2 linked regions of the Alligator mississippiensis genome follow. The protein of the gene in region 1 purifies or fractionates together with the protein of each later gene. This does not show direct contact. Links are inferred from orthologs where the notes say so. Each region holds a gene or a part of one and is shown on either strand. Other genes may lie near its edges.

Region 1 (7,712 bases):
CCTTGAGGTGCAGGCCATGACCCAATGAGTTTTGGCTAAGAACTGTAGGAGTTGACTAAGACTATTACGTGTATCCCAAAGATTAATTTAACACTACTGTGTACATTTATGTACATTCTTCTTTCCAAACAAGTTTGTCAATTGGTATAGCTCCTTAGATGATTTAACCTGAGGGTATTTATGGTGCATCTTAGTTAACATTTCAGTTTCCTTCCACAATTCTTGAATGTGGGAAAGTGCTATATCCCTAAGTAGCTGCCACTTCAATTTTTTCCCCCTATTTGCTTAAATAGGCCAGAAAACAAAGTTAAAAATCAGACCCCTTCACTTTAAAAAAAAAAGGGTTTAATTCCTTAAGTAGAATCATGCTAGACAGAAATTGAGTACAGTAATGCACTGAATCAAGCTGTGTCCTTCGCAATCTCCCTCCACACCCACCTCCTTGGTCTGTCCCACTTCTCTCCTTGCCACTATACACTCCCCTCATCTGAGCTGCTGTCTTGTCCCTTGTCTTCCCTCCATATTTTAACGGTAAACAATCAGAGGAAGGAGTGTATCTTATCTTGTACCATCTCTGAAAACTGATGATACTGTATTAAATATTTCTCAACAATGTAAACTAATCCCATGCTTAGAACAGGACATAACCCCCTGTTATTGAAATAATTTGCAATCTATAACCTGGAAAAGTAACTTCCATCAACTTTGACATATGACACTGGTTCTTAAGCAGGAAAGAAAAAGAACAGGTATTGGATCTTATGCGACCATCTCATCATTGCTGATATGACTATTTTAAACCTCTGTGCAGCATTTCAGATGGAAGGGGATGGGTTTGGGTACTTGAGGTGCAACTTGCAGGACAAAACAATTGTACTCTTTGTTAACTGATGTGTTTCATTTTAGTTCACCATCTAGAGTGATTGTTTTAAAAGGCTTATTAAATTGTCTATGTTGTTATCACTTTATTAGCTGTATTATTAAAGCTTTCAAGCATGGGATGCCTATTACAATATATTAATATATAGAAAATATATAATAATACATTCATTAAAATTATTTGCTCCCATAGTTAGAACGGCAGAATTAAAACTTGCTTTCTGATATATCTGTGCGTAGTGACTGGTCCTACACTTCTAAGATCTTGTATGAGACCAGACCTACCCATAAATTGCAAGCCTGTTCTGCCTAAACCTAACGGTATGTGCATCATCTTGGCTCTGATTTGATCACCAGCTCTGTGCAAGCTATTTCCACATAACACTCTGCTAAATTTCAGTGGGTATATGTGCAGGTGCAAAGGTCTGCCCATATGGAGCCATTTGAAGGGTCATGGCCAGTTAGTATTTGTGCATCTGTACCTCTATTAACAAGGTGTGTGCAGATGTACATAAAGTGTGTGCGAGTGTGCATGCACATACATAAAGTGTGTGCGTGTGTGTCTGGATGTGTGCACATACACAAAAAGGGCAACCATAACATTTGCAGAACCCGCAGACACGCTGGAGGCTCAGAGTAGCTACAAGCTGGAGGACATTTGGGTAGATGTGGTGGATGGATCAGACAGGCAGTCTCTGATGTGATTTATGTCAATATATTTTATACCCAGGGGCAATTTAGGAATGCATATATAATAATTAGCTACACTTTGTATTCAGAGGCAGATGTTACAATCAGCATGACCCGCAAGTAGCGAGATACAGGATAGCGGGGTGTAGAACGGGGCAGGCCCATTTGTCATAAACCACTACAGGACATCTCCAGAAACAAATATCGGCCTCCCCCTCCTCACGGTCAGTCACTTGCAGACATTTGGTGTGCCCTGCCAACAGCTGCAACTACTGTTAAGTCAGTAAAGCAAAGCATGCGTTGTCAGTGCCTGCGTGCATGCGTAGAGGGGGGTGTTCCTGCCTGGACCCGCACATTCTCCATGTCCCATGTGCAGAGGAAGATAGCAAGCAGAAGGTAACTTTAAAGGATGCCCTGGTGTCAGCCATCCTCAATCACTCTGAAGGGGGAAAGAAAAGCAGTTGTCAGGCCAAAGCAATGCTTCTCACCCTGTGGGGCAGCCAGACCAAGGAGAACAGGGCTAAGACGCTTCACTGGGGCCAGAGGGAACGCCCTCGCCAGGGAGCCCAGCAGCAAGCTTGCCAAGGAAAACCCCCTGGACCAAGGGAAGCCCCTGAGGAGAGGCCAAGGGGAGCAACTCAGACTCAGGCCTCGAGGATTACGAGGCACCCCCGTGATTACGAGGTGGAGGGCCAGAGCAGCCCCCGCAAAAGACCCCCGAAGCAAATGCCCTGTCCGTTCTTCCTTTGCAAAGGCGGGGCCGCACCTCCCCCCGCCAGCCAGCCTCAGCTCATTGTGGCTGCTGAGAAAGAAAAAAAAAAAAAAAAAAAAGGGAGAGAAAAAATAATCCCGTTGCCCAACATGGCCGCCCACCCAGCACCAGCTTGGGGAAAGGGGGAGGGGGTGCAGCCTGTCCCCTCCCCCTGCAGACAGGGCTGAGGCGGGGGCACTCTAGCATGAGGGGCGCTTCACACAGGGGGTCACTACCCGCCTCAGCAGGAGGGGGGGGGGGGCGCGGATCACTCCGCCTTCCAGGCAGCGAGGCAGTATCCCGCCGCCCAGCGGGAGCGGCCCCTCCCCTCGCGCTCCCTCCTCCTCCTCCTCCTCCCCGCCAACAGCGTCTCGCGGCCGCTTTGTGTACGGCGCGCGCGGCCCCTCGCTCGCTCTCCCGCCCGCCTCCCCCCCCACTCCCTGCCTCCTTCCCTCCCTCCCCTCCCCTCCCCCGCCCCCCGGCCCGGGCGGTTCGAACCGGTTCCAACGGTAACCAACCGCCACCCGCGCGACCCCCCCCCGCGGTTCACCCCCCCCCCGCCCCGATCCGGTTGATTCCGTTGCGCCCGCCCCCCCCTCCCCCCACATAACGGGCTCGCGCCAACTCACCTTCCTCACTCGCTTTCTCCCGCTGCTCAGCCGAGGCGGCTCTCGCACGCTCTTAAAGGGACACGCACCCCCACAGCACCTCGGAAAGGGCAGCGGGAAGGGGAGGGCAGGTTGCATGAGCTTCCCCCTCCCCCCCCCGAATAATTTTTTTTTTGCACACCCCCCCCGGAAAAGGAGAAAAAAAAAAAAGCGCTGCGGGTTGATACACACACAAGGCACCAACAGACACACACACACACACACAAAAAAGGGGACCTGGCTGGCGGAGGGATACGGTGACGTCATTTCCTCCTCGGCTCCCAAGCTGCTTTGGGATTGGCTGGCTAAGGGGTGACATCACTAGGAGCAGGGCGCACCCTAGCATGGCTTGGTGAAGTTTGTGTGAGGCACAAATTATTTGGGGATTTTTTTTTCCATTGTTTTTTTTGGAGGTGGGAGGCCCCTAGGGGTTTTTTTTTGGGTGGGCTCCATTCCTCCAGGTCCAGAAATTGGTGGCAAGGTGCAGGAGTGGAGGAATAGGGTAGGATCAGCAGCGCCCTTTGAGGGCCCTGCTAGCCATGCTGGGGGAGCTGCTCTGCCGCACCCCCCTCTGTGGTAAAAGCCAAATATTTAATGTTTCCATTCGCCCTCATGTGCGCCATGTTTTTTTCCGTAGGCAAGCCGAGAATCTCAGAGGCGTGGATTGAACCTACCTCCAACAGCCGTTGCTGGTGTTGGAAGGGTCACCAGTTGGGCTTGAATTTGCCGCCTTCTTCAGTTGTTGGCCATGGGGTTGGCAGCACGGGTTGGTCTTGAAATTAATTTGCTGCCAATAAGGATCATCCGCTTGGGCTTGGTGACATGGTTAGGTCTCCACCTGAACCTGCTGCTTAGCGATTTAGGCAGGACGAACAACCTGGCTGTATCTTGAATCCACTACCTGCAATGGTCGTTAGCTATGAGGTAGGCAGAGATATGGCTGTGTCTCGAGCCCACCACCTGCCATGGTTGTTAGCTATGAAGTAGATAGCAAAATGGCTGTTTCTTGAATTCACCACCTGCAGTGGTCGTTAGCTATGAGGTAGACAGCAACATTGCTGTGTCTCGAACCCACTACCTGCAACAGTCATTAGCTATGAGATAGATAGTGACATGGCTGTGTCTCAAATCCACCACCTGCAGCAGTCATTAACTAGTAGGTAGGAACGTCACTGTGTCTCAAATCCACCACCCACGATGGCTACTGATTTTCTAAATGGTTAGTAATAGGGAGGGGTTCCTGATGACTGTTAGGTGCCTAGTGACACTGTTAGCACATGAACTCACAGTTTGTAATGGGTAATGTTTTTAAATAATTAGCCTGGTAGTTGACATTTAAACCTGCCACCTACAGCTGGTAGTTTTGAGCTATTATAATTCATTTTATTTACTGACCTGATCTCAACATTCAGACCCATCACCTAAGATTTGAACCCAACAAGTTAGTTAAGAAAAAGTTGTTAATGACAAATACTTTGGAGGCTTTCTAATAGGTGTTGGGAATCAAATGTTCATATTTGTTGTCAGACATATTGTAATATTTTTCTATGGATGACCAAAGACATTCAGAAGTACGGTGGTTTTATGTCCCTACTATAAAACCTGTCATTTTATCACCATTGGCATTAATTTCTTCCCTTTCAGGCAGCGACAGCTATGAGCCCAAGAATTAAATGGGCCATGGAAACTGAACTCCTCTACTGCCTCCATAAAGGTCCCCAACAGGCCATGACTGAAGCATATTCATGTGATGGTGAGTGCCGGGCAGATCTGTAGGCTCTGCCCATCTAGGTATACCAGCCCCATTTCAATAGGAAGCTTAAGCACGTGTCTAACATCAAGTATGTGGATAATCCTAGTATAATTAATCAGTATCTTCTCAATATTTAAAGTTTGACACTTGTTTAGATTGGCACTAGATAATTTTCAGTCTCCCAGACTCTCAACCTAGTAGCGTTCATCGGAAGTTGACATTCTCCCACATATACATTTAAATGTTTTATATCCTCTGTAATAATGAATACTAATCGTATTTATTTATAATTACATTTAGCAATGCTGATAAGTTTTATGATTTTTTTACCACAGAACAAAGACAATAATAAGTGTATATATAACTCATCACTCATGGGATAATGTTTATTTTTAATAAGATGATACCTTTTACAGCAACAGTAATATATGTATATAGTTCATATTTGCTAATAATTGTTGGCAATTATTACATGCATCTTCAGTGCACTTTAAGAATATTAATTTATTAATTCACACAAAACTTCTGTGAAGTTGGTAAATAATAGTCTGATCAAAAGAATCAATTTTATATGGCAATCAGATGTCACTAGCATTTATCCATTTCATTTTTTATTGATGTCATTATTATCCTGTTATTGATTAAACAAGCACTTTGATTTGAATTGCCGGTCATTCTTTCTAGCTTGCATGATGCATCAGGTTTTCTGCCACATGTTGGTGGGATATATTTGCATGTATGTACCTATATATCATTTGTTGCTGATGTAATGGACTGAATTCTCTGCTGGAGTAAAGCCAGTGAAGTTAATAATAATAATAAAAGTAACTATTATTTATCTATGTGTTTTGCGGTAGTAAGGAGGAACTGCAGTCATGGGACAGAAATCCCTCGTGCTTGGTATTGTAGAAAGGAATCATTTCATAGAGTACCAGCATCTCTCACTTTTTTTCCCCCAAGAATGTTTGCTCTAAAGTAGAAATATTTATGAATCATAAGAGAACAAAATCCCTTGAAGCCAATTACTATTTTCATTACTGGTCTACCCTAATGACTAAAAAGGTCAAAAAAGCTTTTAAAAGGAGTTCAGGCATTATTAATACAATTCAACTCCAAATTATAACATTTTATAGCAAAAGCAGGTCTCTAACTACTGTGATCACCATTAATAACAAAATCAACATTTACCACACCACCATATTGGACTTGTCCATTATATTTACAATATTTCTTATATTTAAAATAGGGATCATCAGGAGTCACCAGGCCCTGTTTGCCTTCATCCAGTGTACGTAATGGAGATGCTAAATTCAAGATGCAATTAATAAGCAGGGCAAAAAAGAAAGAGAGGATTCAGCAGGAATCTCAGTATTGGTGAGCTATTTATAATTTTTGGTGTATGGATATGGAATGAAAGGGTAATCCATGCCATTTTGTGCTATGGGAGCAAATACTACTGGCTGCCACTATGCTTCATATTACGCTACTCGGAGTCATGGTGATAGTAGAAATAGGAATCAAATCCTAACCCTGCTTTATATAACTCAGAATAAAGGAGACTTCTCTGATTGTTAACATTATAGAGCATATGACATAAAAATTAATACTTGTGATTCCATCCAGTGAACAGCAATAGTATACATGTCCTGTCCAATTTATTAGATATATGCAGTGGATTTTTTTGATTAAGTATCTGCTACTAAAGAGGTCCAAGAGACTTATTATAACAAATAATTAACTATTTCCCTAAGGGCTAATTGTTATTAAGAGTGGGTCAAGGTTAGGGCAGGGTCATGAACTAACCCTGACCAAGACATAACTTTTTTTTATAATGTAGCTACATTGTAATGCCATTTACCATAATTAAGTAGGTTGAGGTACATATTATAACCTAACTTCGACCTTTTTTATAGTGTAAATTACATTTTAGCAAAAGATCTAAGCAAAGCAGCAAAGATTAATTGATATATCAAACTAGCAGTTCCAAAGATAGTAAGTTGGAGCATTGTATGTTGCTTCTGCAGCTTGCCAGTTTTTTTGGACGCCTGCCACAGGGTTTTTGCCATGAGTCTAAAATTGGAACCACCTGCAACTTGGTTGGTGTCAAGGCAAGAAGTCAAAAGGTTTCAACATGTGGTTTCATAATCACTGAGAAATTCATTGCAAGGCTGTATCTGGCTCTGGAAATGAAACAAGATGTAGCACAGTATTTTCAGTCACAAGTTCATTCAGCAGCATACAGTAAGGGGCTGACTACAAGAATAAGGATATGCATTTAGAGAAGTTGCCACTTGGCAGTAGGAAGTTTCTGTTTAGACAGCTAAAGAGGTAAAGCAGTTTAAATATGATGTCACTAAAATGTTTTTCTACTGTTGTCCCTATTTAGCAAAGTACTTAAGCACATACCTAACTTTAAGCACATTGCTAGCTTGAAACACCCATTACTACAGTTATCAGAGTTTAGAAATTAATTTTTCCTCCTTTTTGTTTATGTCCATTTTAGTTTAGTAAGTCTCATTATTCCTCTGTACTGTTAAAATACTTTGCCTTCTCTTTCTCTGCATTTGAATTCAGACTTGGGATATATAATGATTTTACATATAGTAAATTAAAATCTAAAGATCAGAAACTTTCAAACTCCTGAATATTTTAGTTTTGCACTGGATTTGGGAGTTTGGAGTATTGCCATTCTTCTCTTCTGAATAAGTGTTGAAATAAATATCTGTCTTTCTAAAATATGCCTCCCTAACCTTCTTGGGAAGCATCTGAGAGAAGACATTAATTAATCTGTGAAGCAGAAACCAACTGTGTTGCTTCCCCCCTCTCCCCCCCAATTTAATTTTTCAGCATCTTTCTTGATATTTTGCATCAGTGGACTGCAGTAATATTTAAACCATATTAGTCAGTCTCATGTTTAACTTCATTTCCAAATAATTTGTTTTTGTCACTTTGTTTAAATTTACATGGTATGTACCATATTTGTTATAGTACA
Region 2 (6,967 bases), on another chromosome or scaffold:
GTACTCTCAGATAATATGATCCTTCTAGAAGAGGAAGCCTGTTGTTAATGAGTTTAGCTTGGGCTGCAGGCTCCAAAAGTCTGGTGACTGTGTCTATGATGCAATGGTTTGAGAGGGTAAATGCTGCAAATCTATCAGCATTAGCACTAGGCCATGAATTTTTACTCACAACGAATTAAGCATTCTCCTGCGTGAGTCAGAGTTACGGATGAGCAACAAGTGTGTCCAACAGAGATTAAGCAGTTTTTAATGCAGATGCCTGCTCCAGCTATACAGAATAAAATAGTCAGAAAAAAATATATATCCTGGATCAGGCCTTATTGGGTACCTCATCAAATAATACAGAGGACAAGGTAGACTTGCATTCAAGTTTTGAGAATGCTGGAGTACTGAGTTCCTAAATAATCCTTATTTTGGCAATCTCAAGGCGAAGGAACGATCTCCCCAGAGGAGTAGTAGTAACTTCATAGATCAATAATTTGAACAAATTATAAAGAACTGGTCCACATAGAATCAGTTGATGACTAAACAACCTCTGCTGCATGCCACTATGAGAAACAGATTATTCTGGACCAAATTTACCCCAGCTGACTGCCCTTTGGGCAGGGGGCTGGACTCGATGATCTTCCGAGGTCCCTTCCAGCCCTAATGTCTATGAAGTCTGTGAAGTCTATGAAATTTACAAAAGCATCATGACTTTTCTGGTTAAAGCATGGTACTAATTTCAGAGAGCCTAGAGCAATCCAACAGGCTGGAAGTGAGTGCAAGCAATCACTGAGGGCCTGGAAAGCTCTAGAGATTGCTGAAGATGTTGGATTAGAAAAAGAGATTGTGCAGACTACAGATTGATCTTCAGTCAACTTTGAATGATGTTTACGTCTATTATTTCTCTGATGGTGTTTTTGCTTAATTGCACCCCATTCTTAGAGACTATCTTTGTTTTCCAAATCTTTATTTTGAGGAAAGTGCAAGTCTTGCAGGCCTAAAGATTTTAAATTCCTCCTGTGACTGTGAATTTAAAAATTTACAATGTTGAAATGACTGTATTCAATGAAGTATTTTACAATTTTTTCTGAATGAAAAAAAACTTTATAATTGTTTGTAGGCTCCTGGCATTTCATTACATCAACAAAACTGTAGGCCTTTGCTTGAAGAAACTTTTCAGTCTTTAATGCCTTTGTGAAACAAGTGCTATACTCTGGAATTCGGGGGGAAATGGCTGCCATTCTTTGCAAGAACAATATCAAACTGGGAACAGCGGCATCTCTGCTGAGCCAGACTGTGAGACTGCAGAGAAGCTGCGTAAATAATGCTGCCTTAAAAGGGAGTTTGAATAAGCTTATGATTTTTTGCCAAACCTGTCTTCAAATTTTTGTCACATAAAACAAAAGGTTAATATTGGTTTTACAACTTGTAATCTTTCTATGCATAGAGCTTGATATCTGAAAATATAGGTTGACTATAAGCCAGTAGATAGGAAGTTTAAAATATTCAGCAGTAGTCATTAACTGGAAATCAAATCTGGAGCAGGCAAAGAGGCGGTGCAGACCCGTCTACGCCACCACACATGCAGGCATTCCCTGTGTTGCTACGTTGCAGTACAGGGGAGGTTTTTGACCCTGGGAGATCTTGGGGTCAAACAAATCTGCACCTTAAAGCAGGGCAGCACATGTGGTGGCAGTGTGTGCAGAGCCTGGCCTGCTAGAGCCACGCTCTGGCTGCCAGCCAGGCTCCCAGCTGCAGGAGCACCGTAGCTGCAGCTCCCCAAGACTCCAGGTAAGGCTTCTGGGGATAGCACAGTTACTGGCCCCAGCCACCCCTACCAACCCAAGGTAATCTTAAACTGCAAAGCATAAGAAGACAGTATAAAAGAGGTGTTTGTATGTGACACCAGCATTTACTAAATAAAGCCAAACCGCAGCAGGACTTGTGCTAAGCATCATGCACCCTCTCGTTATGAAAGGGTGGTAGCTGGGGACCCTGGAGAGGTAATGACAAAGATACCCAAGTGAAGGTGAAGGCTAGAGATTCAAAACCATGCTGCCAACCAAGAGTTAGGAACTGTTGCATCATTCCTGCTCCCTTTCTTTTCCCACCATTTCAATTCATTTACTCATTCATGTCTTAGGTTTATATCCTGCCCCAGCCAAAAGGCTTAGTGTAGCCTACTCAACACCCCAAAATCCGAAACTCCCCCTCATCCCAGTGCAACATTTTCTAATGAGAAGTTGTCTAATGAGATGACCATCCCCTCAGCTTTAGCCTCAGGTGGCCACACTGGAGAATCAAAAGATATGGGTTGGGTGATGCTTCCTGAGATCCCAAGGGACAGGGTTAGAAGCAGGTGAAGCAGGAAATACCTGCACTTGGAATTTCCTGGCTGCTCTGCAGGCAGAAGGCAGGGCGAGGCGTTTCCTCCGGGGCTAACTCGTTCAGAGAGGAATAGGCTTGTGTATGCAACAGCCCACTTCATAAGGACACAAGAACTGCTGTTTACTGGGTCAAACCACAGGTCCCTCTTGCCCAGTCTGGTGTGTCACACGGTCTAGCGCACACCTATCTTCAGTGCGTCAAGCTACAGCCCCTTCACTGCCTCAAGAGCCTTTTGCTTAGGTTTTGGCTGCACTACTTCCTGCACCTTAATTTATACACTCCCTGTCCATGGCTCCACCAAATCGTGCAACCTCCTGGCCCTAGCCAAGCTAGCCATGTATCTGACAGGGAAGGAGGCTTTGACTGGGATGACCTCTGGTGACTTTGAAGCCGTCTTCCTGGCCCTCATCCAAGCACATCTCCAGGCAGTTTCAGTAGGCAGTGGCCACTGGTTCCTTGGACTCATTCAAGTGTCCTCTGCTAGGTGTCCCCCCTTGGTACACTCATTAACCTGTGACCGTACTCTTGTTCCTGTTCTGTTTATTTGTCCCAAAGAACATGCTGGTGTGCCTGTAGTAGCCTGTCTTAGCAAGGAAGGCTTGTAGTTTGTCTTGGTGGATCTAGGTACACGTTCCCTGGCACACCAACCAGTCCTGTGTCGCACTCTGGTGCATGCCTGTCTTGAGTGTGGCAGGCTGCAGCCTGTTCACTGCCTCCTCAAGAGCCTCTTGGGGTGCTGGCTGCACCACTCCAGCTTCTTTTTGTTTATGCGCTCCCCATGCACAGCCCCACCAAGTCCCGCGACCTCCTGCTCAACCTCCTGGATCGACCTGACCTGGGGGAAGCTGTGGTCAGGAGGACCCCACCCTGGGACTGTGGGCCTGTTTTCATGTCCCTCTCTGCTCATATGTCTTCAGGCAGAGTTGCACTGGGTAGGGTCCCTTGGCTCCTTGGACTTGCTCAAGCACCAGTAGGCACTGGCCAATGTGCTCTGCTCCCCACTCATGCACCCCTTAACAACCTCTGCCCATCTGTTTTCACCTTTATTCCCCCCCCCATCAGCAACCCCCTGGAATAAAAGGAGGGGCGGGGGAGGGCGGGTGGTAGCAGGTTTTTTATGGGCATCAAACAGGCAGGTGGCAGAAGGGGACGCTGAAAGGGGAGTGAACTGGGGATGAACAGGGTTGGGTTTTTTTCACTGCTCCTTTCCCACTTGCAGCCTTTAAGAGAGCAGTTCCCAAAATTGGGATCGCAGCATCAAGAGCTGAGGGAGTCCTGAGACTGGGGGTTGGAAATGAGAGGGCCATGCCTAGGAAATGGAGTGATGCTGAGGTCAAGTTTGGGAAGCACTGCTTTAAGGCCCAGCTCCTCCGCCTGCCGAGTTGTGCCCCCCTCCCCTCTGCAGGGGGGGAATCCAACCCCGTCCCAGTAGCCCCACCCCTCCCTTGTCCTCGCTAAGTGCGCCTGCGCACTCGCGCCCCTCCCCCCCTCCCGAACACACTGCGCCTGCGCGAGGCAGGGAACGCGAGAGAAAGGGAGAGGGGGCGGGGCGCGCGCGGAGCCCTCACTTCCGGTTGGACGCCGAGCGGGCGCGAGGCGCAATTCAGCTGCCGCCGCTTGCCCGCCTACCCCCCTCCCCCCCTCCCACCGCTTGCCCGCCCGCCAGTGGGGAGGAAGCGCTCAGCGGCCTCCCCGCGCAGCCACCTGGCCCCCGTCCCAGCGCGGTGAGTGAGTGCGGCTCCCCCATCCCTCTGCGCCTTCCCCCCGCAGCCTCCAGCGCCGCGCTGTGCGCAGCGGGGGCCCCTCCCCCACCAGGGGCAGCAACGGGGCGCGCGGGGGGCGGGGCTTAACTCGCGTGCGCGGGGGGGAGGGGCGGGCGGCAATGGCGCCAGCTGAGGACGGGGCTTAACGGGCGGGGCTTAGCTCAGCGTGGTGGGGAGGGGCGCTGCCTCCTGGCCTGGCGGGGGAGGGGCGCGGGCAAGTCGCGGGGGTGGGGGTCTCAGTGGAGAAGAGGTGGGTGAGGAGGGGAGAGCCGTGCAGCAGAGGGCAGCAGCAGGGGAGGTGCCCCAGATACGGACACTCTTTGCTTCTCAGATTTGAATTTCCCCTTGCCTGGCTAGCAGGCTTCTCTGCCTCTGAGGAAGCAGCCCTTGGGGCCCAGAGCTGCCCAGGATGATCAGAGGACTTTTGTCCGTGTCTCCCCCCCCCAATGAACAGTCTCCACTGGCTGTAGCAGCAGAAGAGGCTGCTTTGGCTGCCTTGTCTCGCTGAAGGGCACAGGTTTTCAAACGTCCTGAAGTCACTAGATCCTTTCGTGTTGCTTCTGCTGCAGAACCCGCCACTCCTGTCCTTTCCTACCCCTGTCCTACAAAGGATGTGGCAAAGTTAGGATCCAGAGGTGGGGCACAAAGGTGATAAAGGGTTTGGAAAGCAAGTCCCACGAAAGAGCTAGGCACTTGCAGCTTGAGGAAAAGATGGGATATGATAGCAATCTTCAAATACTTGAATGGGCGCCATAAAGAAGAGGGGTGCCATTCTCTCTGGCTGCAGAGTTGAGGATGCAGATCAATGGCTGGAAGTTGCAGCAAAGTATGTTTAGTTTGGATATTTGGAAAAAAAACTCCTTTACTGTTAAAAGAGCGAGGCAGAGGAGTAGACTGACTAGGGAAGTTGTGAACTCTGTCACTGAAGATGTTCAAAAAGAGGTTGGGCAGCCACTGGTCAGGTATAGCTATGCTTATGTATTCTGTGGGTACATGTTTTCTGGCTTCTAGATTACTCTTGCTCCACCCCTTTCTGCTACATGTGTCAGGGTGTTTTTAAGCCTCCTTCATTGGGTGTTGGCTACAGCCAAGGCTGGGGAGTTTGACACCCAGTGGTCCTGCTGGGACCAAAGCTGGATGATTCTGGCTAGAGGATCTTGCCCCTCTGCTCGGGTTCGGACCATTCTTTCCTGACACCCCTCCCCCCCCGCCATATTTGGGATCTGGAAGGAATCGTACCCCATGGTTAGATTGGTATGGACTGTTGGCCCTCTACCCAGGGTCTCATAGAAGCAGGATATTTGTTCCTCTACTTTATACCTGTGGCAGGTTAGGGTGTTAGATCTGTGTTGTGTCAGGGTTTACACAGTCTTATGTGGAGTTTAGATTATTGTTTGTATGGGATCATTTGGATAGGGATGATCCTGCTTCAGGAAGGGGGTTGGACTAGATGGCCCTGGAGGGCCCTTCCAGCCTTGCTTCTCTGTGATTCTAAAAAGCTGATATGGAGCCTGGAAACCTGGCAGTGATGACGTGCTGCTTCCGCTATTGCCCCCAGTTTCTTTGGGGAAGCTCTGATGACGTGTTGTGGAACCCCAGGGTTCCAGGGAATGCAGTGTGAAAGGCACTGGCTTAGTGTAAAAACAGACGTTGCCAAACAACGAAGTGGATCAGCTGTGGCTGGCATGTCCCACCACGGCCAGTCCACTTTATTTGATGAAACATACCACTCCTTGTTGTGCATCAGGCAAAGGCCTGATGAGAGACAAAAGGCAGCACATTCCTCTTGCCTGTAAATTTTCTGCACCTGCTTGCCAGGACCCATACTGACCTATGATTCCCACACAACCATGGGGTGGCATGGGACCTGGAGAAACCCAAGGGCTCTGTGCCTCCGTACTGATCCATGCCTCTGCATGAAGCATGGGTTGACACAGGTCCTAGCAAGGAAGCACAGGGCATCATGGGACTTAGGGAATTTGCTCAGCACAGTTCCTGGTGTGGATGCATGGGGCACTGGGGATTCCCCAGGTCCCATGCTGCTGTGTGGGTCCCAACCTGGAGGCACAGAGCTCCAGGAATTCCCTAGGTCCCTTGCTTCCACACCAGGACCTACACAGACTTTACCCACTTAAGGAAAAGTGCCCCATGAGATCTCAAGGCAGGTCTCCATAAGCAGGAAACCCCAACTTTCCCTGCTTAGAGAGATGCTCTAGGATTCCCTAGGATGTCTCTGTAAGCAAAGAAAGCTGGGCAGGTGCTTCCTGAGGGGGCTGATTTCTGTGTGGGAAATCCTGAGGTGTGCAAGATGGGGGCCTTTCAAGCCCATGGCATACCTGCCCAGGGTGGCTGGAGAGTTTGGGCATCTTCAGGCTTCCCGCACTCTCCCACCACAGGGCAAATAGATGTGCAGTTCAATAAAACAACTCTTTTATGCTACTTTTTGTTGTGGATACGCATGCGGTGCAACAAAAGGTATGGATTGTCTACTTTGTCACTGTTTGTGCTTCCATAAAAAATGTTTATAACAGCACACATGCCACATCAGGCGACATTCTATCCTTAGATACCAAGTATCTCTTAATAAAATTCCATGTTACGAGCAGGTACCAGTCTGCAGCGAATGAATCCTACCATGGAGTCCCACACAGTTCAAAGATGGTGTCAGGACCAAGCATTGTCTCCTTTCCAGTTTCTTCTATCTGAGCCCTTCCTTGAAATGAGATTCTGCTGTCCCACGGCCCCAGTTTCTGAAAGTGTACTTTCAGTCTCCTCAGCCCTTTCCTCCCCTTCCTCCTCCCCACCCTTGTCTATGGGTACTTTGGGCCAGA

The links. Proteins that work in one complex are often made in the same cells at the same time.
Region 2: the proteins of POGZ (region 1) and CHAMP1 purify together in Homo sapiens (affinity purification with mass spectrometry; 4 studies listed by BioGRID and IntAct, with this or other methods). This does not show direct contact. The link is inferred for Alligator mississippiensis from reciprocal best matches to the Homo sapiens genes POGZ and CHAMP1.

Annotation. Positions count from the first base shown.
Region 1 is NC_081838.1:19,811,610-19,819,321, forward strand, and holds the start of POGZ (pogo transposable element with ZNF domain), read right to left. Parts: upstream 3,102-7,712; 5' UTR 2,950-3,101; intron 2,830-2,949; exon of another isoform or gene 2,764-2,829; intron 1-2,763. UniProt on the Homo sapiens protein: Plays a role in mitotic cell cycle progression and is involved in kinetochore assembly and mitotic sister chromatid cohesion.
Region 2 is NC_081824.1:350,550,930-350,557,896, reverse strand, and holds the start of CHAMP1 (chromosome alignment-maintaining phosphoprotein 1), read left to right. Parts: upstream 1-3,933; 5' UTR 3,934-4,097; intron 4,098-4,369; exon of another isoform or gene 4,370-6,967. UniProt on the Homo sapiens protein: Required for proper alignment of chromosomes at metaphase and their accurate segregation during mitosis. Involved in the maintenance of spindle microtubules attachment to the kinetochore during sister chromatid biorientation.